Xenopus tropicalis: one gene and its partners. The protein of the gene in region 4 interacts with the protein of the main gene of each other region in a pairwise test. Links are inferred from orthologs where the notes say so. Each region holds a gene or a part of one and is shown on either strand. Other genes may lie near its edges. The genes, in order: fars2, adipor1, ube2o, appl1 and follicle-stimulating hormone receptor-like.

What was found.
Region 1: the proteins of appl1 (region 4) and fars2 interact in binary tests that used the Homo sapiens proteins (3 or more experiments, as listed by UniProt). The two-hybrid records come from large-scale screens. The link is inferred for Xenopus tropicalis from reciprocal best matches to the Homo sapiens genes APPL1 and FARS2.
Region 2: the proteins of appl1 (region 4) and adipor1 interact in binary tests that used the Homo sapiens proteins (3 or more experiments, as listed by UniProt). The link is inferred for Xenopus tropicalis from reciprocal best matches to the Homo sapiens genes APPL1 and ADIPOR1.
Region 3: the proteins of appl1 (region 4) and ube2o interact in binary tests that used the Homo sapiens proteins (3 or more experiments, as listed by UniProt). The two-hybrid records come from large-scale screens. The link is inferred for Xenopus tropicalis from reciprocal best matches to the Homo sapiens genes APPL1 and UBE2O.
Region 5: the proteins of appl1 (region 4) and follicle-stimulating hormone receptor-like interact in a two-hybrid assay, tested with the Homo sapiens proteins (2 studies listed by BioGRID). The link is inferred for Xenopus tropicalis from reciprocal best matches to the Homo sapiens genes APPL1 and FSHR.

The regions. Positions count from the first base shown.
Region 1 is NC_030682.2:88,246,245-88,252,610, reverse strand, and holds the start of fars2 (phenylalanine--tRNA ligase, mitochondrial), read right to left. Parts: upstream 4,349-6,366; 5' UTR 4,241-4,348; intron 2,492-4,240; 5' UTR 2,485-2,491; coding exon 2,403-2,484; intron 1-2,402. UniProt on the Homo sapiens protein: Is responsible for the charging of tRNA(Phe) with phenylalanine in mitochondrial translation.
Region 2 is NC_030678.2:75,136,957-75,142,888, forward strand, and holds the end of adipor1 (adiponectin receptor protein 1), read left to right. Parts: coding exon 1-17; intron 18-418; coding exon 419-605; intron 606-1,167; coding exon 1,168-1,355; intron 1,356-1,547; coding exon 1,548-1,741; intron 1,742-2,198; coding exon 2,199-2,327; 3' UTR 2,328-4,612; downstream 4,613-5,932. UniProt on the Homo sapiens protein: Receptor for ADIPOQ, an essential hormone secreted by adipocytes that regulates glucose and lipid metabolism. Required for normal glucose and fat homeostasis and for maintaining a normal body weight.
Region 3 is NC_030686.2:45,267,380-45,273,981, forward strand, and holds the start of ube2o ((E3-independent) E2 ubiquitin-conjugating enzyme), read right to left. Parts: upstream 4,357-6,602; 5' UTR 4,186-4,356; coding exon 3,832-4,185; intron 1-3,831. UniProt on the Homo sapiens protein: E2/E3 hybrid ubiquitin-protein ligase that displays both E2 and E3 ligase activities and mediates monoubiquitination of target proteins. Negatively regulates TRAF6-mediated NF-kappa-B activation independently of its E2 activity.
Region 4 is NC_030680.2:148,669,339-148,675,797, reverse strand, and holds the start of appl1 (DCC-interacting protein 13-alpha), read left to right. Parts: upstream 1-2,849; 5' UTR 2,850-2,985; coding exon 2,986-3,039; intron 3,040-6,459. UniProt on the Homo sapiens protein: Multifunctional adapter protein that binds to various membrane receptors, nuclear factors and signaling proteins to regulate many processes, such as cell proliferation, immune response, endosomal trafficking and cell metabolism.
Region 5 is NC_030681.2:21,712,791-21,719,491, reverse strand, and holds the start of follicle-stimulating hormone receptor-like, read left to right. Parts: upstream 1-2,270; 5' UTR 2,271-2,320; coding exon 2,321-2,469; intron 2,470-6,701. UniProt on the Homo sapiens protein: G protein-coupled receptor for follitropin, the follicle-stimulating hormone. Through cAMP production activates the downstream PI3K-AKT and ERK1/ERK2 signaling pathways.

The DNA of each region.
Region 1 (6,366 bases), on a different chromosome or scaffold from region 4:
CAGACGGAGGAGCTTTAATCGATCTGCCCTTTTTTCTGGTAGCGACAAGTGCAGCATCTTGATCTCGGTAGTCTATTAATGCCATTTCAATTACATTGGTGGGAGTGGTTGTCAGAATTCTTTGAATTCTCTTAATAGTTGGGTCAGAGAAAATATCTCAGTGACAAACACCTGCTTTAGTCAGTCCTTGACAAACTTTTCTTGATCCTTACCCTCCTCCGAACCTGCTGGGAACCCGATGAGTCACAGATTGTTGCTATGGAGGTGGTTCTCCAGATCATCTGCATTTGCCAACATCTAAGTTTCTTAATAGGGCCAACTCTTTCAGTATGGTTTATAAAGTGACTTCCAGCCTGGCCACATGGTTCTCTACACAAACCTGCATGCACTTTCTGTATCGCTGCTAATAACTCCTTCTTGGATAGTTCTGGTTCCTTTTCCAGGCCTTCCAGTGGGTGAGTAGCTCCCGTAACAAATGTGCAGGTTACAAGGACCGTAGAAAGATTTCAAGTCTAGCATTAATATGCTTAGCATACATTACTGTGCCCCAGGAGGAACTGCAAGTTCTGGCAGGCTATTTAGAAACAGGTAGACTGTTGATATGTTCAGGATGCAGACCAGGGAGCTACTTGTGCATGCCATCAATTTGCAATCTTGGCTCTATCCCCGCATAACTTACTCTTTAACATGGTACAATACCAACCACTAACAATTATTCTCCAATGACTTTGCAGTGACTGTTTCATAGTTTTTGTAAAGCTTGTAATGGAAGGACTGAAGTAGCAATTGTGAAACAAGGCTGGTCAAAATCAGCTGAAAGGAGCCCTAAACCAAATAATGTTTCTTTGTAGTTGCTTTGTATTTTTTTTTTACCATACTTCCAATATTTAAAGTTTAATTATATTCCCCAGAAACTCAGTGGCTGACTGACTAAACTAAACTATTAAGAAATATATAAACTACTGTATCCCATTTTAACTGCAGCAGCTTCAACCCCTACTGTAAATGTTCCCTGAGCTTTACTAAACTCAGCTGTTACATTTGACTCTGTAAATCAATTGTTGGCTTTCCTCTGAAGCTGCTGAAAAAAAGTATAAACTAATGAAGAAAAGACTTATGTCAGACTAAGAATGTTGTTTGCATTCTGAAAAATGACAGTGGAGAAAACAAGAATGCTTCCCGCCTCCTTGTGACAGTAATGACATCAGCTTGTTATTGGACACAGTGGGTAGACGTCAGCCTGAAAATGCTGTGTGTGTAGAGACAGGCTCATGCCATTTCTGTCTTTGCTATGGGGTGTCGTAAGGATGTAATTGTGTTTTTTCTGACAACAAAAAAAAAAGCTTAGTCTAACATTAGCTTAAAGAAGAAAGAAAGGTAAAAACTAAGTAAGCTTTATCAGAAAGGTCTATGTAAATACAGCCATAAGCACTCACAGAAATGCTGCACTGACTTCTCCGTGAAAAGATTTATTGTGTCTGTAATTCCTCTGCCAGAGACACGCAGCTCTTTGCTGTCTCCTCTCTCCTGCTCCCCCCTCCCTCAAGAATGCTAAGAACTCACTCCCCCCCTTAGGAATGTGGATCTGAGCCAATCAGCAGGAAGCTAACTCATAGTTCCGAGCATATTTTCAGCTTTTTCGTACGTCCGTGCGACTTTTCTGTACACTTGCACGAAAAATTCAGAAAGCTTCTGCCGCTGTTTACAATCATTCGGTACGAAAATTTTGTGACTTTCGGATCACCAATACGATATTATCGTGACTAATATGATTTTTTCGTAACCATTTTCGTGATAGTTGTGATCTTCAGCAATTCAATTGAAGGTATGCCTGCAGCTTGAGATTAACTCTTTATTAGCCTTTCCTTCTTTCTTAAGAGTTTAGAGAGTCTGTGCCCACTCGCTTACTTAGTTGCCCCCTTTACTTAAACCTGTAAAGGGAAAATTAAACTAAACCTAAATCTCAAACCAATCAATCTCACTTAATAAAAGTCATTTCTGATGAACTATTTGAAAACAGCTAAACTAAAATGGAGATGAAAAAATATCTAGAACGTTAATAGTAAGCTGTAGTAGTAATATGGCCTAAAGGCTACTTGTGCCACAATAAATGCTTTGAAGCAGCAGAAAGAAGTCAATGCCAGTAAAAAGCTACAATAACATTTCTTCTTCACTCAGTTGTAACAAAAAAAACACACAACAAATGCACACAAACCTTAAATGTATGTTCATGTTTTCTCCAATGCATTCCTTCCTATTTTGTAAGATATGACGTACAGAGTGAACCTAAATATGTTCAATATAGATCATATGCTAGGTAGTGTTGTCAAGTGTAGAGAATAATAAAGGACAACTATAAGCTCAAACATACAGAAAATGTATATATTGATATACTTTCTTACCTAAGCTTACTCCACCAATTCCTGAATTACAAGACCATAAATGCTTCCTGAGTCCTGACAGAATATATTTTCTTACATCCATTTGGAATCTGCAGAAAAATAAATGCTATTGGAGTTGCTACACTAAATAAACATAAAGTCAATAAATTATGTTGTTGTATGATAACTATAGAACTGTTAAAGTTATATCTTTCAGCTTCTGGTCATGTTCTCAATTAAAAAATACACAGGCAGGTATCAGTTCATCACTACTAAGTATGCACTGATTTTGCCAAATTCCAGCCATTTTTTCAGGATCTAATTCACCTGAACATGCATTTACATATGCAAATTAGGGTTCTGATTAGTTCAGAATTCAGTCAAATCTGTAGTGATGGATTCAGTATTTGGCCTTATCCTGAAATTATGCATTTGGTGCATCCCTAATACAGGTCTCGGACCCCTTATCCGAAAACCCATTATCCAGAAAGTTCCGAATTACGGAAAGACTCCATTTTAATCAAATAAGTTGCATTTTTTTAAAATGATTTCCTTTTTCTCTGCAATAATAAAACAGTACCTTATACTTGATCCCAACTAAGATAGAATTAATCCTCATTGGAGCCAAAACAATCCTATTGTGTTTAATTACTGTAATTATTGAAAACCCCAGGTCCCGAACATTCTGGATAACAGGTCCCATACCTGTAATTAGCTGCAAAAATATCTGCTAAATTTGTTTTAATAAAGAGGCAAAGAATGCAGACTTGGCATGCTTGACTCACCTAAAACATTGTTGTATATTAATGTGTTGCAGAGCCAAAGCTGGAAGTTTTTGTGCAATGGTTTTCTACAATTATTACTCTAAGGGGCTGATTTACTAATCCACGAATCCGAATGGGAAAAATTCGGATTGGAAAACGGACATTTTGCGACTTTTTCGTATTTTTTGCGACTTTTTTGTAGCCGTTACGACTTGCGCGAATTGTCGCGACTTTTTCATAGCCAGTATGACTTTCGCGAATTGTCGCAACTTTTTCATAGCTATTATGACTTTTGTGAATTGTCGCGACTTTTTCATTGCCATTACAAATTTCGTGAATTGTCGCGACTTTCGTATTGAGCACTCAAAAAAGTAGCAAAATACCGATCATTATGAAAAAAACGCATTCGGACGCTTTTCGGACGTTCGTGGATTAGTAAATGTGCCCCTAAATGTATATGGCAATATGGGTAGCGCATAAATATGGCGCCAACATAATCTCTCAATTAGGAACCTATATACTTGTTTTTAGTTCTTACAACACAATATCACACAAAAACTGTAAATGCTGCTTAGTTACTAAATGCATTAATAGCAGCACACAGAGCCACTCTAAATCATACATGTGTCAATATAATTTTAAATGCATGTGTGCAGGTATGGTGAGTGAGTCTTCTTGTGGGAGTGTTTCTTCCTTACTTATGGACTGTCTGTATTTTTAAAGAATACAGATTGGTTGCAAGTACATTTTTAATAAATGTATAACTGTTAAGTGTGTGAGTGTACACAATTCTCCCAACAACTGCAGAGCCAAATGTTGCCAATAGTGGGTACTGGGAGTATGATATATTAAAGAATAATAAAGAATAATGAAGAACAGATTTCCTATACACTTTGAACTGCCTATTTAAAACATTTATAGTTTAAAGATGGGGGTATTGACGTTATTTGCCAGTTTAATACAGGTTGTAATATAAAGCATGTATTAAAACAGCTAATATAATTAGATCTACTACGTAGCCTACATATATATTTATACAATAAATGGTTATTACTACATAGCTTAACATATAGTTCTAAAGGTGCAGACACTCACACGACCTAAGCAGCAGGTAATCTATGTGACAATGTGAAGGTCTCTTCCCTTTTCTCCCTCCTTTGGCACTTTCAGCAGATCCTATCACACGAGCCCATGACGTCACAGCTACGGGAGGGGACCTGGGACAAACATGTCAGCGGCGTAAATTTACTCTAACATCCCTGAAACGTGTTAAAAGAAAGCCCTATTGGTCCAACGCTCGCAGCTGCGACGACATTCTCATTTTCCATAGATCGCCGATTTAGGTATCTTTAATATTTAAAAGTTTAGCACTGATATTACAAAGACATATGACTGTTACGATAAGAGGAACAACTTGCCGTAGGCGCTTTTTAGGCAAATAGCATTTTTACAGAAAATACCACAAAAGTTCCAACCGAAAGCAAAACGCGGCACGAACACGTTTGTCCCAGATCCCCTCCTGTAGTCGTGACGTCATGCGTTCTTGCGCTAGAAGCTGCTGAAAGTAGGCAAGAAGTGAAAGAAGGGAAGAGACTTTCACGCTGGTTCACCTATCAACTGTATAGGGAGTGTGAGTGTCTGCATCTTCCTAAGGCTCTATTTACTTATTGCACCCCAGCGCTATTTGTAATAGTGCAATATTCAGCATTTATTATTAGCCTGTGTCAGGATTAATTCGCACTGCACGCTTAAGCCTCAGTGTTGTATGTTAACTCCGTATTAAACTGACATGGAGTTTAAGCTGTAAGAAAATTCAGTTACAGAGCTGTCACGATTTGTCATGTAAAACCATAATATTCCCTATACTCAGGGACTGGCATTGTGAAATATCTACTCAGCAACTGGCACTGTGAGATAACTACAACTCATGTCATACATTTACCTCTTTTCAAAAGGAAAAAAAATAAATTTGTGAAAAGAGAAAATATGTTTCTCTTGTACTGCAGTTTAAATGTTAATATTCACATTTAAACTGCAGTCAAAAAAATGTGGCTTTCCTATCCATTAAGTACTCTATTAACATCTCTCTGGCCCTGTGAATAGTTTTGAAGAGTGTTTCTGAGACAATTAGCATTTGGTCTTCATTGTTTTATTTTTTGTGGTTATTTAGGTTTTCGTTCGACAGCTCTCCAGTTTGGTATTTCAGCAGCTATCTAGTTGCTTGGGTCGTTTTTAACCTAGCAACCAGTCAGTTATTTGAATGAGAGACTGGGAAATAAAAAGGACTAAATAGAAAGATAAGTAATAAAAAGTAACAATAACAAAATTGTGGCCTCAGAAAGCAATAGATTTTTGTGTGGCAGTTTCAGTGGACCCCATCTAAAAGCTGAAAAGAAGCAGAAAAGGAAGGCAAATAATTAATAAACTGTAATATATAATGAAGACCAAATGCAAAGTTGCTAGGAATAGAAAGGAACAGTAACACCAAAAAATGAAAATGTATCAAAGTAATTAACGTATGAAGGTACTGTTACTCTGCACTAGAAAAAGTTGCGTGTTTGCTTTTAGCAACACTACTGTAATTTAAAAATACTCTGCTGTGTAGCCATGGGGCAGTCATTTAAACTGGAAAATTGGAGCAAAGGCACAGGTTACACTGCAGATAACAGAGTCTACAGAGCTTATCTGTTATCTGCTATGTAACTTGTGCCTTTTCTCTTATTTTCCAGCGTTATTTGCCTTTTTCTTATTTTGACTCCAGATTTAAAAAAAACTACTGCTCTGTAAGGCTTCAATTTTATTATTATTGGGTTTTTTTTATTTACCTTTATTTCTATGCAGCCCCTTTTCTATTCATATTATCAATCACTGGTAAATTGCACCCTGGTAACCAGATAGCTGCTTAAATGCCAAACTGGAGAGCTGCTGAACAAAAAAAGCTTAATAAATAAAAAACCATAAAAAATGAAGACCAAATGCAAATTGACTTTATCAATATCTGCATACTAAAGGTGTTTATCAGGGTCAGTTATGCTAGGCAATAGAAAACAGATTTATTTTGAGGCCATATTTGTTTTGCTATTTTCATATTTAATATAATTTTTCCATCGTGGCTTCTTCAAGAACTCATGCACATTTATGGTACATTGAAATTGGATTGGTTTTCAACTGTACTAATCACAGTGTGATCACTTTCTTAATTTGGATGTACCATGAGTCAT
Region 2 (5,932 bases), on a different chromosome or scaffold from region 4:
ATGGACTCATTTGCTAGGTATGAAATTATAAATAAGCAATTAACAAAATTAAAACCACACAAACAGCATGTTTGTAGTGAGATTTGCATGCAAATGAATGAAGTCCTGGGTAGGAAACCGTTTCACTTGCTCCCAAGGAGGTTCATTAGATCTCAACTACAGACTGGTTTCGATATTGGCGCTTATAAATGTAGTGCAGCGTTTTCTGAAGCCAGAGAACATTCAGTACAATCACCTGTGTTCCCATGTTCCTGTTAATGATGCCTTTGTTGTAAATTATATATATATATATATATATATATTATATATCTTGAAATTTATATATTGTTGCATGCAGATTAGCTTTCGTTGCAAGTGACAAATAATTTACACTAATTTGGTGAGTGTGAACTGTAATAGAAATATATCTACTTTGCAGGTTTTGTACTTTTTCTTTCTCTCGGCGTTCTAACTATGCTCCGCCCCAACATGTACTTCATGGCTCCTTTGCAAGAGAAGGTTGTATTTGGAATGTTCTTTCTAGGTGCTGTATTGTGCCTCAGCTTCTCCTGGCTTTTTCACACAGTATATTGCCACTCTGAGAAAGTATCTCGCACCTTCTCAAAGTAAGTGGAGGGTAGAAAATGGGCTCAAGAATTTGCCAAATTGATTTGTATTATGGGTGGCAGTATATCATTTAGTATTTCTTAAAACTATTATTCCTTACGTAAAAGCTTGGGGTGTGTTTTGCATGCCCTGTTGGGATTCCATTCTTACATTTTTGTCTTGAATTTTATTTTCTGATATTTTTAACTGACTATGCCCCCATTTATATTCTACCACAACTTTGCAGTCTATTGATACATACTTTTTCGAAATTCCTTCTTGACCAGCACCTGTACATTTTTTGTTTTTTTGGATTAGCCCTTTAAAGAGAAAAGGGGTCAAGGCACATGGCCATGTCCAGTTAAAAACCATTCCCCTGATCTGCCAAAAAATTGGCAATCTCCCTTCCCTTTTGGGACCTATGAAACTGGTCTATCAGTACTTCCACCTGTTTTCCCCTAAATCATGGCCCTGACCCCAATTCATTCATTTCAGATCTCTTAATACAACTCATATTGTCTGTTTGCTTCACTTATTCACTTATTGCAAACAAGGAAGTGACAACAAATTTCTATTCTTCAGGTTGGATTATTCAGGGATTGCTCTGCTAATCATGGGAAGCTTTGTGCCATGGCTCTATTACTCCTTCTACTGCTCTCCACAGCCACGTCTCATATATTTGTCTATAGTCTGTGTTCTGGGTATTACTGCAATAGTTGTAGCACAGTGGGACCGTTTTGCGACACCTAAGCACAGGCCAACAAGAGCAGGTAATGTGTTTCCTAAACAGCTTCATAAAGCCCAGCATTCTTGGGTTAGGATTATTTCTGTCAGATGTCATGCTCTCTACATTTGTGCTTATGTAATGTGTACACGTGTATTAGTGGGTGTTGATGTATCCTGTTTGTAATGAAAGATGTCTATATTGCTTCATAGTAACATGTTTTGTTTTGCAATTAAAGGTGTGTTCCTAGGGCTTGGCCTCAGTGGCATTGTGCCAACCCTTCATTTCACAATTGCAGAAGGCTTTGTGAAGGCAACAACAGTGGGACAGATGGGCTGGTTCTTTCTTATGGCTGTCATGTATATAACAGGAGCAGGGCTTTATGCAGCACGAATTCCTGAGCGTTTCTTTCCAGGCAAATTTGACATCTGGGTGCGTATGGAAATTTTCAGAATACCCTTTGTACACTGTGTCTTTAAAGGCTAGTAAATTAATTTAAAAAATAGTAATGATTGTGCTTTTGGTAAAACAGATTATAGATACTCAGTGGCTTAGGTTTGGTTGTTAATAAATATGTGTGGCCTGGGCCAGAGGTATTTGAGGCACCTTGGTATATCAGTATCATAGGCTCTGTTAATCTTTTCTAGATAGCATCTTTGCTGTTCTTTTCCAGCTGAGTGCAGGCAGCACTCGGTGCTTTCCCCTCTATTCCTATGGCTGTGTGCAACATTTGCCTTTAAACATCAGCCAACCTATTTTATGAGAAACTAAATTTTAAGTGCTCAAACTGAGTTTATAAGTATTTAATTTTGTTTTAATATTTTGGAACAATAACATAATATTCACTCTGCATAACAATGAATATTTTTTTTTTTTCCTTTCTCCACAGTTCCAGTCCCACCAAATATTCCACGTCTTGGTGGTGGCAGCAGCATTTATACATTTCTATGGCATTTCCAACCTTCAAGAATTTCGATATGCATTAGAGGGTGGTTGCACAGATGATTCACTTTTGTAAACAGCAGTAACAGATTAAGACTTACTACATCTGGTGACCTACAATGGTTGTGCAAAAAGTGAGCAAGACTGATCCACTAGCCACCCTTTTCTAGATCAATATATAGTATGTTCTTAAAGATCATTGTCTCTGCTAACTCCTTGTTTACAGTAGGAAGGTGCCTAATGTAACTAAGAAAAGAGGAGGAAAAAGAGCTGGGATTTTTTGTACATACTTGAAATACCTCCTGGGACAAAAGAGATGCCATAAGCACTAGTTGTATATTTTGGTCTTTGATCAAAAAATTACAAAATGTAAATTCCAGAAATGTAAGCTGAACAACCCTTGGGAGTCATATTTGAATGGAACATAACCTTCAATGAGGTGCTTGACATACACATTACCCGTTATAAAAATCAGAGGCTTTACACAAGTCACCAACTTGATCAGATCTACACATTCCTCAGAATAGAACCTTTGGTATGTTACTGCTACTGCTGCTGTTCTGGAATAAATCATTTTTCTCTCCCAAGGTTAGAAGGTTTCAGAATTCGGAATATTCATTTGGTGTTTAGGGTAAAGTCTCTTGTGGATGTATATAGGGTAAAACTCTACCATAAAATGTGATGCCTTAGTTATTAATTAAAGTGACTTAATGGCTTCTTATGGTATACAGTAATCTGCCTAAACCAAGATGTTATTAGCATTAACAACTTTATAACAAGGGTTTATTATTTCTTTTTACTTTTATTAGTATTTTTTGCAGATTCAGTTATGGTTCCATTTTTTCTAATATGAGACACATCACATATTACAGAGGATTCCTTATATAAGCAGCTATATATTGGGCTTTCAGGTGTACAGCTTTCTTGGACATGCTCTCTGAAAAGTATAGTTGGGTTGTATATTAATAAGGAGTATCTAAGCATATGGAGTAAACATCTTGCACTTTATAATAAGTATTTTTGTACATTGATAAATATATACAAATTTGGTCTGAACACTGATGCTGAACCAACACAATTCTTACCAAACCTGTGTTCTCTGATGGAAATCCTTTTCTGTAGCTATACAGAGTTTTTCAATAAACACCATATCCCACCAGTGAACAGTGTGTGACTCGACACTGCAAATTTCTGTTCTCTTACAGTGAAAATGGTCATATTTTGTATCATCAAGTATCTTGGTGACTCAGTTTATTTAAAAATATATAGTATACTAACAGACACCGTGCTGCTCCATGCGAAGATAAATATTAAGTCTCCGTGATCCCTAAACTGCTTCTGATTTTTGTTTTATATAATTTACTGTTTAAAGCAAGGTAAATGGCCGATACCTGATTTTCTGTTACAGTGTATTATTTGAAAAAAAAAAAATTCAGTGTGTGAAAACCTCATTCAACAAAACAATTCCAAACAATGACCATGGAAGTTGGTCAGTGGTCAAAAACTGCTTAAATTCATTTAAGGTATTATAGGATGACTATCTACAGCTTTATTGCTCACAGTTAAAGATCTGTTACATTATGACCGTTAATATATGTATAAGATTTTTTTTATCGCAGGGTATTGCCTTTAATATCACATAGAGCCATTTCATCCAGTATTGTGGGTTCAGACCACACATATCAGAGCTGCTTTAATAAATGGGCAAAAAACTGGAGGGCCCACTATTAGCTTTGTAACTCATTTGTAAAAATGAATGAAGCATTGGCAGGCCATTTATTTTAAAATTCTGGACCAAATCAAGATGCTCCAATCGTTGGCCCTAGGGCCAGTGATCAGTTCATAATAGGCTCTTGTGTAGGCTAGTCAGGAGATGACTACATCACGTGCCAACCCATTTTCAAACACTTGCATGGACAGATAAACTGGCGATTCAGTCCACAGGGGCTAAATCAACTCTTTAATTCTGCCCCTGTATGGCCAGCTTCACTTCATATAAGAGTAACTTGAACCAGTTTTGTATTACATGCAGAATTCTCTTTTCCTATGCTTGTAGCTACTATAAGTATGATACATGTGTACCATTGATAATGCTGTTTAATAAGTTTGGGTTATAAAAAATGACCCACTTTTTTATTGCATTACAACTGTTCTTGCAAAATTACATTTGTACTACCCTTGAGAAAAAAAATCTTATTTGCAGCCTGGTCATTCCTCCATTTTGCAATGCCAACCTCATTCTATTCACTTTTATTCTTAACTTTTAATTTAGATTAACAAATGTTGTAAGAAGTTTTCCGGCTACGAAATTGGACCAGAATTGACAGATTTACAGAAACCAATAAACGTTTAGTATGAGCATGTAATTGTTTCTTCTTAATTTCTTTAAGATAAAGGTGGGCGTCATTCTGTACCATTGGGGAGCTCCTCAACCAATATCTGCAGTGATCATCAATCAAAATAGTTAAGATAACCGATATAAGGCAGGCTGACATAGAATCATAATTAAGCCACATGGGGTTCATTCTTAGTCTGTGGATAAACTCAGGCTGAGAATCAGCCTCTATGCTCTGAACAGCTTTCCGATGTGCCTGCACCTGGAGCCACTGTTTCGGACTGGGTGCAGGCACACAAAGGGGCCGTTTCATTAATACACGAGTTCGAATCCTGGATAGGAAAAATTCGGATTGGATACAATAATTTCTGAAGATCGCAAATATCACGAAAACGCTTACGAAAAAATTGTATTAGTCATGATAATATCGTATTGGCGATCCGAAAGTCACAAAATTTTCATACCAAACTAAACAGCGGCAGAACCTTTCCGAATTTTTCTCCCAAGAGTACAATAAAGTCGTGCAAGCCCGGAAAAAATGGCGAAAATACACTCGGAGCGTACATGGAAATGCTGTTTGGAGTGTAAGGACTGATTCTCAGTCTGTTTATCGGCCTTGTGTGACTGTAGCCTAACTTGTTATTAGAGCTAATTTTTCTCTCACAAATAATTTATAAACAAGCACATATATAAAAATCTGTAAAGGTATGTGTATATATGCACTGGGTTTCCCTTGGATGGGTTAAACACCTGTGATCAAGCCTACCTAACTTATCTTTAGTCTGTCAACCAGTGGCAGTCTCTTGTAACTGGTTGTCCTTGACATGCATGAATAATAGGTTCCATGGAGGTAGGCTGCCTCCTTACCTCTACTTTGTAAATTCATCTACCTGGAGAATAGCACAGGGACAGGGTAAACAGGCAATATCATAATTCATACATCTGAAACATAAACTTGTAAATATTAAATTAATTTGGATATAAAAATGGCTAAAAACATCACAATTAAAATAACCTGACTTGCAATCTTACACAGTTTTATAAAATCTCTACACGTTATGTCATGTTATAACATGCTGTGTACAGTATGTTATATGACTGACAATAATAATACAAAAATGAAGTACACAAAAGAATTATTCATGCCCCACCTAAAAATAAACTGGTAAAGCCAGGTGTTTATTAATAAATTCAAACAGCCTGCTTCTAGTTTATAAACTATCACAACTACCCTAGTGGTCAAAATGCGTATTTCTGAATATTTGAACTGAGTGCCCACATAAAAGAGAAAAAGTGTTTAATCTCCTAAAATTCATAGGAATGCTGTGTGTATTGGTGTATCCCAT
Region 3 (6,602 bases), on a different chromosome or scaffold from region 4:
CACTATGGCACCCCCTACCCATATGTATAAATACAAATATACAGAGAAGGAATGTTCTGGGCACACAATAAGCTGTACCCCCATACTGTACTGTCTAAGGGAAACACTATGGCACCCCCTACCCATATGTATAAATACAAATATACAGAGAAGGAATGTTCTGGGCACACAATAAGCTGTACCCCCAAACTGTACTATCGAATGGTAACAATATGGCAGCTCCGAGCACTTATTGTAATGTCCTGGGCATGGCAGTTACCTGCTGTATCTCTCCTGGGGGTATGTGGGGTTAGTAAATATTCACATACAGACAGTGGCTGCTGATTTGGCCTCGACTAACAGAATGGGCAGATATACCATAGGTTTGGGCCCAAAATCATCAGTTACCCCGACCCATCTGATTGGGGCTTATTCAGGTGGCCCCAAGTGGAGAATCTGGTTGGTTAGTGTTGCTGTGTATGGGGACATAGATACAAGGGGCATTATCTGACTGTTGCCCTGGATCTGATGGAACAGCTCGGTGCAAGGGACCTGGTTCTGCTCATCTATTGGGCAGCGCAAGGGTACAAATCTTACACGCGGCTACTGTAACTATGCTGGTTGCTATGGTGTCTACACTGTAGTTCCTTGCAGTGAATGTGACTGGGGCAACTAGGGCTTCTCACCCCTTCCAATAAAAAGGCTCAATGCACGGATATGGACTTCCCGGAACGTATGTTCCATTAGCACCTGCCTATTCCCCATGTGGCTATTAATTAGGGTTGGGGGGCAGTTGTACTTCTAATTGCCCCACCCCCCCAGTAATACAGGCCCAGTATCAGCTCTAAACAATACCCATTAACATGTATATATCAGGTACGAAACCCCCAATCTGGGCCTGTTTGGGCCTACAGCGCCAAATATCCGCCGGCTCAGCCCGACTCCCAGAGCGACACACAGCGCAGCGTTAATAACATTCCCCCCCCCCCCCCCGGGATGCTCCTCTCAGTACAGGGACCCCTGGGAATGCACAGTCATCACCGGTGAGTTACAGGGAATTACAATGGAGCTGCTCAGCTAAACAAAAGCCCCCAGTACCAATACAATAACCGGGGGGGGCTCTGGAACAGCCGAGTGCCTTATTCCCTGGGGTGGAACATTGCCCTACCTGCCAGAACACTCCTGGGATACAATGCAGACAAACTGCATCAATGGGGGGGGGGAGGGGGGCGCCATTAGCCAGGTGAGCCCCCCCCCTCCCCGCACTCCGACCAGGATAATGCAGAATTCAGTGCCTATAATACGTTATATATAATAATTCGGGAGATTATAGCCCCTGAGCCCCACTGATATCTAAGGGTGACGTTATGATTTGACCCCCCCCCCCCGCTATAAGGAAAGGGTTGGGCTGAGCTATATAATAAAAGGCCAGTCCCGGGGTGTTTCTGAGCAGTTGTGCCAATTCCCAGGGATAGGAGGCGCACTGCTGCCTGTAGCAAATACCCCCACACAGGCTGCCGCTGCCCGGCTATTAATAGTCTTATCAATCCCCCATAGGGCTCTGCCGAGACCGGCTATAGGGGGGCCGCCCCAGCCCAGCCAGGATTGGGAGGGAACGCTCTCGCCGGCGCACAGAGACCCCCGGGGGCGGCACGTACAAGTGCTGAGTAACTGAGCCAGAGGCAGGATTCTATACTCACTCCCTGCAATGCCAACTCCCAGCACTGCCCCCCCCCCCCCCCCCCCATGATACATTACAGTGAGGGCACATTCTGGGACGGGACCCTCCAGCGGCCCAATGCCCCCCCCCCCCCCGCGGCTCTGGATTGCCTAACAGACACGCTCAGTTCTGCACAGTCATGTGACTTATCTGCCTTGCAAAGTGTTATCACCGCACTCCCAGCCAGTAACACCCCCCCCCCCAGACACCACCAAGTGTTACCAGATAACAGTGTATTCACATATATACATACACCCCTGGCACTGTGACTGGCACCTACCAGGGCCCGGCTGCTTGTTGGCCAGTAGAACATCTGGAACAAGTTACCCAGTCCCGGGGGGGGGGGGGGGGCCATGTCTCTGTGTCTCTGTACAGCATCACCTCCTGCCTAATGGGAGCCAAAGGCCTAGCCGGCCCATCTGCCACTGCCTCACCATTTGGGACCCCCCCCTCCCATTTTGCCGGCTGGTTTATCCTTGTCCCCAACAGATCCAGGGTCGTCACATTGACAGCAAATGCCCCAAAGGATTCTGGTAGTGCGGCTCCTGCACTATTCCTGTCCATGCGAGGGGGTGTGGGGGGCAATCATGAGCAGCAATTGCCCCAATTATAATGTGTTCAGTGACCCCCCCCATCCCTATTTTTGTATTTCCCCACCCACCCTGCTCCCACTCCTAAACCAAGCGACTGTTTTTGCTTTACTTGCTCTCGCAGCAGGAGGGCCCCCCAATAGAGGCTTCTCCAGCAGTGCCAGGACCCATAGTACAAACACACATGGGCACGGCTGGCAGGCTGCCCAATGACATGCTGAGGATGCTATGGGGGGGGGGGGGGGGCTAGCAGTACCAGGCACAGTGTGACAGGTTATTATACTGTCAGACACTTACATTCCAACTTACATTCCCCCCCAGCATCTCGCCCCCCCCCTCCGGCTCATATGCACAGTCATCACTTTGCAGCTGGATTATTCCAGGCCTCACAGCAGCCGCAGCTCGTGCCCCACTACCCGCCCATGCCCCCCCCTCGTCTGTGCCCCTGCTACCCGGCCATGCCCCCCCCCGTCTGTGCCCCCGCTACCCGGCCATGCCCCCGCTACTCGCCCCGCTAACCACCCGTGCCCCCATCCTAATCTGCCCAATGTGACATGGGCCCAGGCCAGAATTAGGGACGGGGGGGGTAGGCACTGGGCCCAACAGCTACATACATAGAGACTGCAGTTCCGGGCCCTGAGGGACAGGCTGATGGGGGACACATAACACTCAGGGGACCCCAATATTTATTCACCCTCTGTGCCCAACAACACTGCCCTTCACAATTAGGGAGTGACATGTACGGGGCCCCTCAGGCTGTAGCAAGGGGCAATAGGGATAGGAGGTTACCCAGACAGGAGAGACATTGGGATACAAAGCCTGGGGGGGGGGGGGGGGGTTAGGGACAGAGAAACAGCTAAACCCCTAAAGTACCACCTGTTACCTGTGCCCCCCCCCCCCCGTGCCACCAATCGGACACTAACGGCAGCTGCCTAGCAATGTGGCTTGTGCCCATCAAACCCAATGTTAGCAAGAAGCGCATCTGTAGTACTGCTCCCAGTGCAGCCATGGGGGGGGGGGGGCAATTAGATCTGCCTCTGCCTGACTGCACCCAGCATCCCATGGCAGCCACTGCTGAACCTGACGGGGCCACAGGGAGGGATGAAAGGGCCACAGACACTACAGGGAGCCCAGGCCCAGATCTGAAGGACGGGTCCCACTGGGATACTGGGGGCTGTGGTTCATCAGCATAAAGAGTCCTAGGACGTGCCTGGGCATGGCCCCAGGGGGATGCTGGGAGTTGTAGGACGTGCCTGGGCATGGCCCCAGGGGGATGCTGGGAGTTGTAGGACGTGCCTGGGCATGGCCCCAGGGGGATGCTGGGAGTTGTAGGACGTGCCTGGGCATGGCCCCAGGGGGATGCTGGGAGTTGTAGGACGTGCCTGGGCATGGCCCCAGGGGGATGCTGGGAGTAGTGGTACAACAGCCAATCAGTAGTAAGTAGAGAAAGGCAGATGTATGCCCGGGCACTGCCCCAGGGAGAGGCCGAGCCTTGCAGTCCCACCGTGCCCCCCCCTCCCTCACACACCGGGGGGCCCTTACCTTGTTCTCCCTGACGTCCTGCTTGATGCCCTCCGGGTACCACTGGACCCGCACATATCCGCGCTTTAATGGGCCGAACCTGCTGAGCGGCGGCTCCGACCCGGGACTCCCTCCTCCCGCAGCGCCGCCGGCTCCTTTCTTCCTCCCCCCGGGGCCGCTCTCCTCCTCCCCCGGCAGCGCATCCTCCTCTTCCTCCGAGTCCTCTCCGTGGATGAGACGCACCAGGCCGAAGCGGGTGTGGCCCCGGTAGCAGCCGGACACCAAGTCGTGAGAGAACAGGAGCCGCTGGGAGCCGTCACCGGCCGGGGGCCCGGGGGAGGCGGAGGATGGAGCCGAGTCCGAGGGATCCGCCATTGTTGTTGTCCGGAAGGGAAGAGACAGGAGCTGCTGCTGCCGGCCGGGGCGGTTACCAAGGAGAGCGCTGCGTAAAGGGCGCACTGACGTCAGCACGCCCGGCGTGGTAACTAGGGGAGAGGATGCTGTTGCTAGGGGAACGCCTGGGTCTCTGTTGCTAAGGTTGGTGTGTAGCGCTTATAAAGGCCTGGCCCCAGTCACATTGCGGGGCTCTAGAAGCCTCCCTATTGCTCTCCCTGTGTCTCTATGGGATAATACACTGGGCTTCCAGAACAGCACTAAATCTTACTGCATTGCATTAAGGGCGGGGGGGGGGGGGGCTATAGGGTAAAAGCTGCTCAGAGTTGGGGCAGAGATACCTTTCCCAAAATAAATGTGCCCATTCCCCAGGAGATGCCCCACTGTTTGCTCATATTAGTATAATCTGCCCCCTAGCGGTGTAGTACGGGAACTAACTCAGGCCTGTGTAGCTTCTCAGCAGCAGAGCCCTCTTGGGTTCAAAGTCAAGCCCCAAATACATACTATAAGGAGATTCCATTTCTGTTTGGCATTTTGTGCATTTATCAAGGTGTCCCCATTCCCAGCCTCCGGGGGGATAAGGAGTATCCAGTGTATCCCTGGCTGCATCTCTGTCTCACCCCCAATCAGGCTCCCAGTACAATAAGGAGAAATACAGTGATGGGGTAAAGCTACACACACATTAATACCCCAAGTAGCCTCTTACTACTGACCCAAGGACAAGTTCAGCAAAGGAATTGCCGCACACTGGGTACCGACCTGCTGATAAGATAAAGGCATTTGTATTTCTAGGGAATATTACAAAGCGCTGGTATAAATACTCTGTTAATGTCTCAGTACTGGCAATGCTGTAAGTGAAAGGCTGGAGCGGTGCCCGGCCGGCCGGCTCTATTCTAGCATTGCGGAAACCCTAAACTCAATGGATATAATTATATATACTCTATTCTCCTGTATAACAGACACAGGCACCAGCCCCTATACTAACCTGCCCCAAACCACCTACCTCAGAACTATCCAAACTGGGTTCTGAAATCCAATCATAGATCAAAGAATAAAAGTCCATCATCATGGATCTGGGATCCTGGAAAGAAAAAGATTAATATCCATGAGAAAATGTTCTCTATGATTATACGGTGCAACATTCATAGCAATGCCCTGCGCCGGAGGAGCTTACAATCTAGCACAATCATGGCGCACACTCGGGTCAGCTCATCAGGAGGCATTTAACCTGCCTGGATGTGTTTGTATTGTGGGAAGATATGGGCCCTCCCCCACCCTAGATTTCTGCTCCCCACAATTAGCACCCATTAAATATCAATACAATGAGGCTATTTGGGAAGGTTCCCCCAGGGGATAAAGAACTTCACATACAATAACACAGTTCAATAGATGTGAGTAAATTCAGCTTTTACCATTATTACTGTTGTTGTTATTGTCGTTACATACAGTCGTGATTGTGGCTGTTGGAAGCTGCCAATGGAACTTGCTGGGGGTGCTTGCGGGAGGTTTATCCAGCCCAGCAACATGGTGCTGCCCACCCTGAGAGCCAATCAGCAGGCAGAGCTAGTAACTGACAACAGCTAGAGTTATAGGCTAACATTTATTTACTGACTGTACAGAGAGATACCATAAAACTATGGCACATAGGGATTCCCCTGTACTAAGCACAATTCAGCAGGAACAGCCCCCTAAGTTTGCTCATAGCCTGTACTGAGAGATACCATAAACTATGGCACATAGGGATTCCCCTGTACTAAGCACAATTCAGCAGGAACAGCCCCCTAAGTTTGCTCATAGCCTGTACAGAGAGATACCATAAAACTATGGCACATAGGGATTCCCCTGTACTAAGCACAATTCAGCAGGAACAGTCCCCTAAGTTTGCTCATAGCCTGTACAGAGAGATACCATAAAACTATAGCAGCATAGGGATCCCCCTGTACTAAGCACAATTCAGCAGGAACAGCCCCCTAAGTTTGCTCATAGCCTGTACAGAGAGATACCATAAAACTATGGCACATAGGGATTCCCCTGTACTAAGCACAATTCAGCAGGAACAGCCCCTAAGTTTGCTCATAGCCTGTACAGAGAGATACCATAAAACTATGGCACATAGGGATTCCCCTGTACTAAGCACAATTCAGCAGGAACAGCCCCCTAAGTTTGCCCATAGCCTGTACAGAGAGATACCATAAAACTATGGCACATAGGGATTCCCCTGTACTAAGCACAATTCAGCAGGAACAGTCCCCTAAGTTTGCTCATAGCCTGTACAGAGAGATACCATAAAACTATAGCAGCATAGGGATTCCCCTGTACTAAGCACAATTCAGCAGGAACAGCCCCCTAAGTTTGCTCATAGCCTGTACAGAGAGATACCATAAAACTATGGCACATAG
Region 4 (6,459 bases):
GCGGGAAAGGTAAAAGATTTTAGCCCCTCCCCCAGCACCATTTCTTTTCTGCTTGAGGAAATAAAATATTAGGCCTTTCCCCCGACATTTTCTGACATGTTTTTACCCCACTGTCTTAATAAGAAAAGACCCTCATCCTCTTCCTTTCCAACTGAAGGGTGCAGGGAGTTGTAGTTCTAATATAGTCGCCACCAAAGAAGGACACACCGCTGACTGGCATTTGCTGTTTGCGGGGTATGCTGGGAACTGTAGTCCTGAGATAGAGCACCCTGTATAGTAGCGCTCAGACTGACTGAGACCACCGCTATAATGGGAGAGACGACCCCAGGCTCAGCCATTCCCGGGGTAGGGTAGGTGCAGGGAGTTGCAGGGGGTACTGAGATACAGGGGGTACTGGGATACTGGGGGTACTGGGATACAGGGGGTTACTGGGATACTGGGGGTACTGGGATACTGGGATACAGGGGGTACTGGGATACTGGGGGTACTGGGATACAGGGGTTACTGGGATACTGGGGGTACTGGGATACTGGGGGTACTGGGATACTGGGGGTACTGGGATACAGGGGGTACTGGGATACAGGGGGTACTGAGATACAGGGGGTACTGGGATACAGGGGGTTACTGGGATACTGGGGGTACTGGGATACAGGGGTTACTGGGATACAGGGGGTTACTGGGATACTGGGGTTACTGGGATACTGGGGTTACTGGGATACAGGGGTTACTGGGATACTGGGGGTACTGGGATACTGGGGTTACTGGGATACAGGGGGTACTGGGATACAGGGGGTACTGGGATACTGGGGGTACTGGGATACTGGGGGCACTGGGATACAGGGGGTACTGGGATACAGGGGGTACTGGGATACAGGGGGCACTGGGATACAGGGGGCACTGGGATACAGGGGGTACTGGGATACAGGGGGCACTGGGATACTGGGGGCACTGGGATACTGGGGGCACTGGGATACTGGGGTTACTGGGATACAGGGGGTACTGGGATACTGGGGGTACTGGGATACTGGGGGTACTGGGATACTGGGATACAGGGGGCACTGGGATACTGGGGTTACTGGGATACAGGGGGTACTGGGATACTGGGATACTGGGGGCACTGGGATACAGGGGGTACTGGGATACAGGGGGTACTGGGATACAGGGGGTACTGGGATACAGGGGGCACTGGGATACAGGGGGTACTGGGATACAGGGGGTACTGGGATACAGGGGGCACTGGGATACAGGGGGCACTGGGATACTGGGATACTGGGGGTACTGGGATACTGGGGGTACTGGGATACAGGGGGCACTGGGATACTGGGGTTACTGGGATACTGGGGGTACTGGGATACTGGGATACTGGGGGCACTGGGATACAGGGGGTACTGGGATACAGGGGGTACTGGGATACAGGGGGTACTGGGATACAGGGGGCACTGGGATACAGGGGGTACTGGGATACAGGGGGTACTGGGATACAGGGGGCACTGGGATACAGGGGGCACTGGGATACTGGGGGTACTGGGATACAGGGGTTACTGGGATACAGGGGGCACTGGGATACTGGGGGTACTGGGATACTGGGGGTACTGGGATACTGGGGGTACTGGGATACTGGGGGCACTGGGATACTGGGGGTACTGGGATACAGGGGGCACTGGGATACAGGGGGCACTGGGATACTGGGGGTACTGGGATACTGGGGGTACTGGGATACTGGGGGTACTGGGATACAGGGGGCACTGGGATACTGGGGGTACTGGGATACAGGGGGCACTGGGATACTGGGGGTACTGGGATACTGGGGGTACTGGGATACTGGGGGCACTGGGATACTGGGGGCACTGAGATACTGGGGGCACTGGGATACAGGGGGCACTGGGATACTGGGGGTACTGGGATACAGGGGTTACTGGGATACAGGGGGTACTGGGATACAGGGGGTACTGGGATACAGGGGGCACTGGGATACAGGGGGTACTGGGATACAGGGGGCACTGGGATACAGGGGGCACTGGGATACAGGGGGCACTGGGATACTGGGGGTACTGGGATACAGGGGTTACTGGGATACAGGGGGCACTGGGATACTGGGGGTACTGGGATACTGGGGGTACTGGGATACTGGGGTACTGGGATACTGGGGGCACTGGGATACTGGGGGTACTGGGATACAGGGGGCACTGGGATACAGGGGGCACTGGGATACTGGGGGTACTGGGATACTGGGGGTACTGGGATACTGGGGGTACTGGGATACAGGGGGCACTGGGATACTGGGGGTACTGGGATACAGGGGGCACTGGGATACTGGGGGTACTGGGATACTGGGGGTACTGGTATACTGGGGGCACTGGGATACTGGGGGCACTGAGATACTGGGGGCACTGGGATACTGGGGGTACTGGGATACTGGGGTTACTGGGATACTGGGGGTACTGAGATACAGGGGGTACTGGGATACAGGGGGTACTGGGATACTGGGGGTACTGAGATACTGGGGGTACTGGGATACAGGGGGTACTGGGATACTGGGGGTACTGGGATACAGGGGGTACTGGGATACTGGGGGTACTGGGATACTGGGGGTACTGGGATACTGGGGTTACTGGGATACAGAAGGTACTGGGGTTACTGGGATACAGGGGGTACTGGGATACAGGGGGTACTGGGATACAGGGGGTACTGGGATACAGGGGGCACCTGGGGCCACTCAGGGCCAATTCTCAGCGAACCTTCCCCTTAGCGTCATCTTGACAACTTCCTGTCAGTCCCGCCTCTTAGCAACCATACACACAGACAGATCGCTCAGCCGCCCAATAGCAACTTCGCGCTTGTGAGTAACAGCGCGGCTGAGCCAATGAGAAGAGGGTGCGAAAGGCACAAGGCGGGATGTCCGCTGGCAGGGCGCTGCTGTAGAATTCACGGTTCTGTTTACAGTCCCCGCTTGTCCCGCTGCTCCCCGGCCCAGGAACCGGCGCCATGCTCGGCACTGACAAGCTGCCCATCGAGGAGACGCTGGAGGACAGCCCTCAGGTACCGGGGTGTCAGAATGAGGGGAGTGAGGGCTACCGGGAACCGGGGAGGGGCTTGTTGGCCGTGTCACTCCCAGGGAGGCACCGAGAGGGTTAATGAGAGCAGCAGGGGGGGCCGGGGGGGGGAAGGTGGGGCCGGGGGGGGGGGGGAAGGTGGGGCCCGGGTACAGGGGCCGCTGGGGAGGGGCCAGGGCTGCACAGGCTTATGGGGCGGGGGCATAGAACCGACACCAGAACCTCATTGGGCCGGGGGGGGGGGGGTTGGCACAGGGCATAGTGAGCTGGGGGATAGAACCGGCACCAGAACCTCATTGGGCCGGGGGGGGGGGTTGGGTGCTGGGTATAGTGAGCTGGGGGGATAGAACCAACACCAGAACCTCATTGGGCCGGGGGGGGGGGGGGTTGGTTACTGGGCATAGTGAGCTGGGGGGATAGAACCAACACCAGAACCTCATTGGGCCGGGGGGGGGGGGGTTGGTTACTGGGCATAGTGAGCTGGGGGGATAGAACCAACACCAGAACCTCATTGGGGCCGGGGGGGGGGGGGGGGGTTGGTTACTGGGCATAGTGAGCTGGGGGATAGAACCAACACCAGAACCTCATTGGGCCGGGGGGGGGGGGGTTGGTTACTGGGCATAGTGAGCTGGGGATAGAACCAACACCAGAACCTCATTGGGCCGGGGGGGGGGGGTTGGTTACTGGGCATAGTGAGCTGGGGATAGAACCAACACCAGAACCTCATTGGGCCGGGGGGGGGGGGGGTTGGTTACTGGGCATAGTGAGCTGGGGGATAGAACCAACACCAGAACCTCATTGGGCCGGGGGGGGGGTTGGTTACTGGGCATAGTGAGCTGGGGGATAGAACCAACACCAGAACCTCATTGGGAGGGGGGGGGGGGGCTTGGCACAGGGCATAGTGAGCTGGGGGATAGAACCGACACCAGAACCTCATTGGGAGGGGGGGGGGGGGGTTGGCACAGGGCATAGTGAGCTGGGGGATAGAACCAACACCAGAACCTCATTGGGAGGGGGGGGGGGGCTTGGCACAGGGCATAGTGAGCTGGGGGATAGAACCAACACCAGAACCTCATTGGGAGGGGGGGGGGGTTGGCACAGGGCATAGTGAGCTGGTGCATAGCCAAGGGGTGAGACCTGCAGCTGCTGCGGAACCTCTTGCCAAGCAGATTGCTGAACATGTAGGAGTGGGACATGAGGGGTAGTGGGGTCGGTACAGAAAGTCCCCCCTGATGTGGGTCATTTTGCTGGTTAAGGATGGAAGGGAACTGTGAGAGGGTTGGGTTCTGTTACTTATTGGTCTTATTCCTCCCAGCCTGGCATTCACACCTTGGCGCGGTTGCTAGGGTCAGTGGGAGATATAATGGCAGAGAATAAAAGGGAGGAATAATCTGATTTCCCCTTCAGGAAGTAGATTCCGTTTATATAAAGAGTCGTCATTCTTTGCCGTCTGTTGTGATTATCAGAGAAACACTGGGATTTATTGGAAGGTTTGGCTCCGCCCAGAACAAACACTGCGTCCAATCACAGTCACACGTGCACATAAACAGTTTGTATGATAGGATCAGCAAACATCTTCCTTCAGTTTTGGGTGGAGTTCCCCTTTAATAATTCTGCATCCAAAAAACCGCAGCAGTTTATTCCTTTCTCAGCTCAGTAGGTCAGTGACGGCCAATGAGAGCCAGCCTCCGCACAGCTCAGTAGGTCAGTGACGGCCAATGAGAGCCAGCCTCTGCACAGCTCAGTAGGTCAGTGATGGCCAATGAGAGCCAGCCTCTGCACAGCTCAGTAGGTCAGTGACCGCCAATGAGAGCCAGCCTCCACACAGCTCAGTAGGTCAGTGACGGCCAATGAGAGCCAGCCTCCACACAGCTCAGTAGGTCAGTGACGGCCAATGAGAGCCAGCCTCCACACAGCTCAGTAGGTCAGTGACAGCCAATGAGAGCCAGCCTCCACACAGCTCAGTAGGTCAGTGACGGCCAATGAGAGCCAGCCTCCACACAGCTCAGTAGGTCAGTGACGGCCAATGAGAGCCAGCCTCCACACAGCTCAGTAGGTCAGTGACGGCCAATGAGAGCCAGCCTCCACACAGCTCAGTAGGTCAGTGACGGCCAATGAGAGCCAGCCTCCACACAGCTCAGTAGGTCAGTGACGGCCAATGAGAGCCAGCCTCCACACAGCTCAGTAGGTCAGTGATGGCCAATGAGAAGCCAGCCTCCACACAGCTCAGTAGGTCAGTGACGGCCAATGAGAGCCAGCCTCCACACAGCTCAGTAGGTCAGTGACAGCCAATGAGAGCCAGCCCCCACACAGCTCAGTAGGTCAGTGACAGCCAATGAGAGCCAGCCTCCACAAGCTCAGTAGGTCAGTGACAGCCAATGAGAGCCAGCCCCCACACAGCTCAGTAGGTCAGTGACAGCCAATGAGAGCTAGCCTCCACAAAGCTCAGTAGGTCAGTGACAGCCAATGAGAGCCAGCCTCCACAAGCTCAGTAGGTCAGTGACAGCCAATGAGAGCCAGCCCCCACACAGCTCAGTAGGTCAGTGACAGCCAATGAGAGCCAGCCTCCACACAGCTCAGTAGGTCAGTGACAGCCAATGAGAGCCAGCCCCCACACAGCTCAGTAGGTCAGTGACAGCCAATGAGAGCCAGCCTCCACAAGCTCAGTAGGTCAGTGACAGCCAATGAGAGCCAGCCCCCACACAGCTCAGTAGGTCAGTGACAGCCAATGAGAGCCAGCCTCCACACAGCTCAGTAGGTCAGTGACAAGCCAATGAGAGCCAGCCTCCACACAGCTCAGTAGGTCAGTGACAGCCAATGAGAGCCAGCCTCCACACAGCTCAGTAGGTCAGTGACGGCCAATGAGAGGCAGCGCCTACACAGCTCAGTAGGTCAGTGACGGCCAATGAGAGCCAGCCTCCACACAGCTCAGTAGGTCAGTGACGGCCAATGAGAGCCAGCCTCCGCACAGCTCAGTAGGTCAGTGACAGCCAATGAGAGCCAGCCTCCACAAGCTCAGTAGGTCAGTGACAGCCAATGAGAGCCAGCCCCCACACAGCTCAGTAGGTCAGTGACAGCCAATGAGAGCCAGCCTCCACACAGCTCAGTAGGTCAGTGACAGCCAATGAGAGCCAGCCTCCACACAGCTCAGTAGGTCAGTGACGGCCAATGAGAGCCAGCCTCCACACAGCTGAGTAGGTCAGTGACAGCCAATGAGAGCCAGCCTCCACACAGCTCAGTAGGTCAGTAACAGCCAATGAGAGGCAGCGCCTACACAGCTCAGTAGGTCAGTGACAGCCAATGAGAGCCAGCCTCCACACAGCTCAGTAGGTCAGTGACAGCCATTGAGAGCCAGCCTCCACACAGCTCAGTAGGTCAGTGACAGCCAATGAGAGCCAGCCTCCAC
Region 5 (6,701 bases), on a different chromosome or scaffold from region 4:
GTGAGTGGATAGATAGGTCAGTGTGGGTCTGTATGTGAGTGTATAGATAGGTCAGTGTGGGTCTGTATGTGAGTGGATAGATAGGTCAGTGTGGGTCTGTATGTGAGTGTATAGATAGGTCAGTGTGGGTCTGTATGTGAGTGTATAGATAGGTCAGTGTGGGTCTGTATGTGAGTGGATAGATAGGTCAGTATGGGTCTGTATGTGAGTGGATAGATAGGTCAGTGTGGGTCTGTATGTGAGTGGATAGATAGGTCAGTATGGGTCTGTATGTGAGTGGATAGATAGGTCAGTATGGGTCTGTATGTGAGTGTATAGATAGGTCAGTGTGGGTCTGTATGTGAGTGGATAGATAGGTCAGTGTGGGTCTGTATGTGAGTGTATAGATAGGTCAGTATGGGTCTGTATGTGAGTGGATAGGTCAGTGTGGGTCTGTATGTGAGTGGATAGATAAGTCAGTATGGGTCTGTATGTGAGTGGACAGGTCAGTATGGGTCTGTATGTGAGTGGATAGATAGGTCAGTATGGGTCTGTATGTGAGTGGATAGGTCAGTATGGGTCTGTATGTGAGTGGATAGATAGGTCAGTATGGGTCTGTATGTGAGTGTATAGATAGGTCAGTATGGGTCTGTACGTGAGTGGATAGGTCAGTATGGGTCTGTATGTGAGTGGATAGATAGGTCAGTATGGGTCTGTATGTGAGTGTATAGATAGGTCAGTATGGGTCTGTATGTGAGTGTATAGATAGGTCAGTGTGGGTCTGTATGTGAGTGGATAGATAGGTCAGTGTGGGTCTGTATGTGAGTGGATAGATAGGTCAGTATGGGTCTGTATGTGAGTGGATAGATAGGTCAGTATGGGTCTGTATGTGAGTGTATAGATAGGTCAGTATGGGTCTGTATGTGAGTGTATAGATAGGTCAGTGTGGGTCTGTATGTGAGTGGATAGATAGGTCAGTGTGGGTCTGTATGTGAGTGTATAGATAGGTCAGTGTGGGTCTGTATGTGAGTGGATAGATAGGTCAGTATGGGTCTGTATGTGAGTGTATAGATAGGTCAGTATGGGTCTGTATGTGAGTGGATAGATAGGTCAGTGTGGGTCTGTATGTGAGTGTATAGATAGGTCAGTATGGGTCTGTATGTGAGTGGATAGATAGGTCAGTATGGGTCTGTATGTGAGTGGATAGATAGGTCAGTGTGGGTCTGTATGTGAGTGTATAGATAGGTCAGTGTGGGTCTGTATGTGAGTGTATAGATAGGTCAGTATGGGTCTGTATGTGAGTGTATAGATAGGTCAGTGTGGGTCTGTATGTGAGTGTATAGATAGGTCAGTATGGGTCTGTATGTGAGTGTATAGATAGGTCAGTGTGGGTCTGTATGTGAGTGGATAGATAGGTAAGTATAGGTTGTGGGTGCTGGGTTTACTTGGAAGGGTTGAACTTGATGGACTCTGGTCTTTTTTCAGCCCTATGTACTATGTAACCCTGATAGTGCTTGGGAGCAACATGCTCACCAACCCCACTGAATGTTGCACCTAGTGGCTCTAAAGCAGGTGCTTATTTTTTAATTTCTGCCTTGGAGGCAAATATGGGTTGCATAAAAACCATGCTTACTGGCAAACAGAGCCTCCTGCAGGCTGCCAGCCCATATAGAGCTACTAAATAGTCATTTACAGACTGTATTTGGCACCTCCAGGAAACGTTTTTATGCTTGTGTTGCTCCTCAACCCTTTCCACATTTGTATGCAGCTCACTAGTAAAAAAGATTGGGGACCTCTGTTGCAGAACATGCATAAATATGCCATAAATCCCTATGGTTTTGGTAATTAAAACTTGTGTTTCCTTTATTTCAGGATGCAGGTATTGTCCCTAAAGGCAGCGTATTTATAAAAAAAAACAGCATTGGCAGAAACTTCAAGGACAGCTCCAACTCCAGCTAAACACCCTGTCCCTTGCTCTGAAATAATAAAACTGTTAATATTACACATTCAGAGTCGTGTAGAAATGCAAAACACTCCCTGCCCAACTGATATTGTTGTCTTTGGGTCCGCTCAGGATTAACTTCAAGGTTACGTCGCAGCCAAAAAAAAAAAAAAAAAAAAGCCTTATACATTGTTACCAACAGGGCTTTCTATTGATAAATAGTGATCCCATGGGGCTTGGCTGGCTTTGCCCGGCACGGAGTATGAGTTAGGAAATTAGCTGCTCGTTGTCAGGCACGTTACACCTCTTTTGAAGGCGGATCTTAAAAGTCTTCCCTCTCTCAGGAAACTGAAGTCTGAACTTGTTTAGAGCACGAGAGGGACATCAGATGTAGACAGAATGCCTCTTATTTTCGTCTGCATGTTGTTTTGTTTGCAGCCCTGTTTTGGATGCCATGCTGTTTGCCAATGCATGGGCAGAAGTTTTGTCTGCCAAGAAAACAAGATGGAACAGATTCCAAACAATATCCCCAGGAATGCCACTGAATTGTAAGTCTTGGGATTCAATCTTATTGGAGTTATTATGTCATAATGCCACTCATGGTATATGTAAGCCAGATATACACTATATATATATATACAGGTATAAGACCCGTTATCCAGAATGCTCGGGACCAAGGGTATTCCGGATAAGGGGTCTTTCTGTAATTTGGATCTCCATACCTTAAGTCTAATAAAAAAAAAAACAAAAAAAAAAAACCATTAATTAAACCCAATAGGATTGTTTTACATCCAATAAGGGTTAATTATATCTTAGTTGGGATCAAGTACAATGTACTGTTTTATTATTACAGAGAAAAGGGAATCATTTAACCATTAAATAAACCCAATAGGGCTGTTCTGCCCCCAATAAGGGGTAATTATATCTTAGTTGGGATCAAGTACAGGTACTGTTTTATTATTACAGAGAAAAGGGAATCATTTAACCATTAAATAAACCCAATAGGGCTGTTCTGCCCCCAATAAGGGGTAATTATATCTTAGTTGGGATCAAGTACAAGTACTGTTTTATTATTACAGAGAAAAGGGAATCATTTAACCATGAAATAAACCCAATAGGGCTGTTCTGCCCCCAATAAGGGGTAATTATATCATAGTTGGGATCAAGTACAGGTACTGTTTTATTATTACAGAGAAAAGGGAATCATTTAACCATTAAATAAACCCAATAGGGCTGTTCTGCCCCCAATAAGGGGTAATTATATCTTAGTTGGGATCAAGTACAGGTACTGTTTTATTATTACAGAGAAAAGGGAATCATTTAACCATGAAATAAACCCAATAGGGCTGTTCTGCCCCCAATAAGGGGTAATTATATCTTAGTTGGGATCAAGTACAGGTACTGTTTTATTATTACAGAGAAAAGGGAATCATTTAACCATGAAATAAACCCAATAGGGCTGTTCTGCCCCCAATAAGGGGTAATTATATCTTAGTTGGGATCAATTACAGGTACTGTTTTATTATTACAGAGAAAAGGGAATCATTTAACCATTAAATAAACCCAATAGGGCTGTTCTGCCCCCAATAAGGGGTAATTATATCTTAGTTGGGATCAAATACAATGTAATGTTTTATTATTACAGAGAAAAAGGAAATCCGTTTTAAAATTCTGAATTATTTGATTAAAATGGAGTCTATGGGAGACAGGCTCACCGTAATTCGGAGCTTTCTGGATAATGGGTTTCCGGATAAGGGATCCTATACCTGTATATAGAAATCATCAATATCATGACAAAGTATAAGTAACCTCAAGATATTAAACTCCCTTTACTGATATATAATATTTATCCTGAATGATTGTATAAACCTATTCCTTATAATAATTATATAAAACCCAGGGTAGTGACTGTATCTATAAGATCGACCATATATCATAAGGGTTGATGAAAACATAAAGAGAACATTCTTTTTATGTCGGGTTGAATCTATTTTTATATCTAGAAGTTTTCTTTTTCCCCCACAAATTCTAGGAAACGCATTTTGTACGTGTCGTTATAGAGCTCAGGGTGACAGGAAAAAGCTAATGTTGCGTTTGTAGTGTTTATCTTGTAGCGCGTCTTATCAGCCTTAAGGACGCATGTTTACTGTGATGTCAGCGCAGTAAGTGGTGTCACTTTTTATAGATACAGAATAGAGGCGAACATTCCAAGTCCTCCCACACAGGCAAGCAGAGCTGAATATATAAATGACTTTTTTTCAGAGAGAAAGCTTCAGTAATATATGGAGAGAGAAAAAGTATCAGTAATATATATATAATTTTTTTTTTGAGGTCTTTTTAACAACGCCAAAGTGTATTTATTGGTTAAAAAACAATAAATACACCTGTAGAGTGCTGTACTTTGCAATATATCTATGCATTATTGGCACTTTGGCAAATGATTTATTTTTGAGGGTATTATCCTTTTTTGTATTATACATATAATATTTATAACCCAGTAGAATAGTTTTAACTCCAATAAGCATTATTCTGTTATATTAAGGATGATTATAATGGATTATAAAGGATATGTTAGTTGGGATCAAGTACAAGGTACAGATATGGGACCCATTATCCAGAATGCTCAGGGCCTGGGGTTTCCGGATAAGGGATCTTTCCGTAATTTGGATCTCCGTAACTTAAGTCTACTAAAAATCATTTAACCATTGAATAAACCCAATAGGGCTGTTCTGACCCAATAAGGGGTAATTATATCTTAGTTGGGATCAAGTACAGGTACTGTTTTATTATTACAGAGAAAAGGGAATCATTTAACCATGAAATAAACCCAATAGGGTTGTTCTGCCCCCAATAAGGGGTAATTATATCTTAGTTGGGATCAAGTACAGGTACTGTTTTATTATTATAGAGAAAAGGGAATCATTTAATCATTAAATAAACCCAATAGGGCTTTTCTGCCCCAATAAGGGGTAATTATATCTTAGTTGGGATCAAGTACAGGTACTGTTTTATTATTACAGGGAAAAGGGAATCAATTAACCATAAAATAAACCCAATAAGGCTGTTCTGTCCCCAATAAGGGGTAATTATATCTTAATTGGGATCAAGTACGGGTACTGTTTTATTATTACAGAGAAAAGGGAATCAATTAACCATAAAATAAACCCAATAGGGCTGTTCTGACCCAATAAGGGGTAATCATATCTTAGTTGGGATCAAGTACAGGTACTGTTTTATTATTACAGAGAAAAGGGAATCATTTAACCATTAAATAAACCCAATAGGGCTGTTCTGACCCAATAAGGGGTAATTATATCTAAGTTGGGATCAAGTACAGGTAATGTTTTATTATTACAGGGAAAAGGGAATCAATTAACCATTAAATAAACCCAATAGGGATGTTCTGACCCAATAAGGGGTAATTATATCTAAGTTGGGATCAAGTACAGGTACTGTTTTATTATTACAGAGAAAAGGGAATCATTTAACCATTAAATAAACCCAATAGGGATGTTCTGACCCAATAAGGGGTAATTATATCTTAGTTGGGATCAAGTACAGGTACTGTTTTATTATTACAGAGAAAAGGGAATCATTTAACCATTAAATAAACCCAATAGGACTGTTCTGCCCCCAATAAGGGGTAATTATATCTTAGTTGGGATCAAGTACAGGTACTGTTTTATTATTACAGAGAAAAGGGAATCATTTAACCATTAAATAAACCCAATAGGGCTGTTCTGACCCAATAAGGGGTAATTATATCTAAGTTGGGATCAAGTACAGGTAATGTTTTATTATTACAGGGAAAAGGGAATCAATTAACCATTAAATAAACCCAATAGGGATGTTCTGACCCAATAAGGGGTAATTATATCTAAGTTGGGATCAAGTACAGGTACTGTTTTATTATTACAGAGAAAAGGGAATCATTTAACCATTAAATAAACCCAATAGGGATGTTCTGACCCAATAAGGGGTAATTATATCTTAGTTGGGATCAAGTACAGGTACTGTTTTATTATTACAGAGAAAAGGGAATCATTTAACCATTAAATAAACCCAATAGGACTGTTCTGCCCCCAATAAGGGGTAATTATATCTTAGTTGGGATCAAGTACAGGTACTGTTTTATTATTACAGAGAAAAGGGAATCATTTAACCATTAAATAAACCCAATAGGGCTGTTCTGCCCCCAATAAGGGGTAATTATATCTTAGTTGGGATCAAGTACAGGTACTGTTTTATTATTACAGAGAAAAGGGAATCATTTAACCATTAAATAAACCCAATAGGGCTGTTCTGCCCCCAATAAGGGGTAATTATATCTTAGTTGGGATCAAGTACAGGTACTGTTTTATTATTACAGAGAAAAAGGAAATCATTTTTAAAAATTAGAATTATTTGCTTATTATGGAGTCTATGGGAGAGGGCCTTTCTGTAATTTGGAATTTTCTGGATAACAGGTTTCCAGATAAGGGATCCCATACCTGGCTTTCTATATATTTTTTAGATTTTTCATATATATATATATATTTTTTATAGATTTTTTTTTTGTAATTTACATTTGAACTATGCAGGTGTGGGATCTGTTGTCCGGAAACCTGTTATCCAGAAAGCTCCAAATTAAGGGACAGCCATCTTCCGTACATTCTATTTTAATTAAAAAAGTCATATTTTTAAAAATGATTTCCTTTTTCTCTGTAATAATAAAACAGTGCCTTGTACTTGATCCCAACTAAGATTAATTTAAAACTTAAGGTATGGAGATTTCAATTAT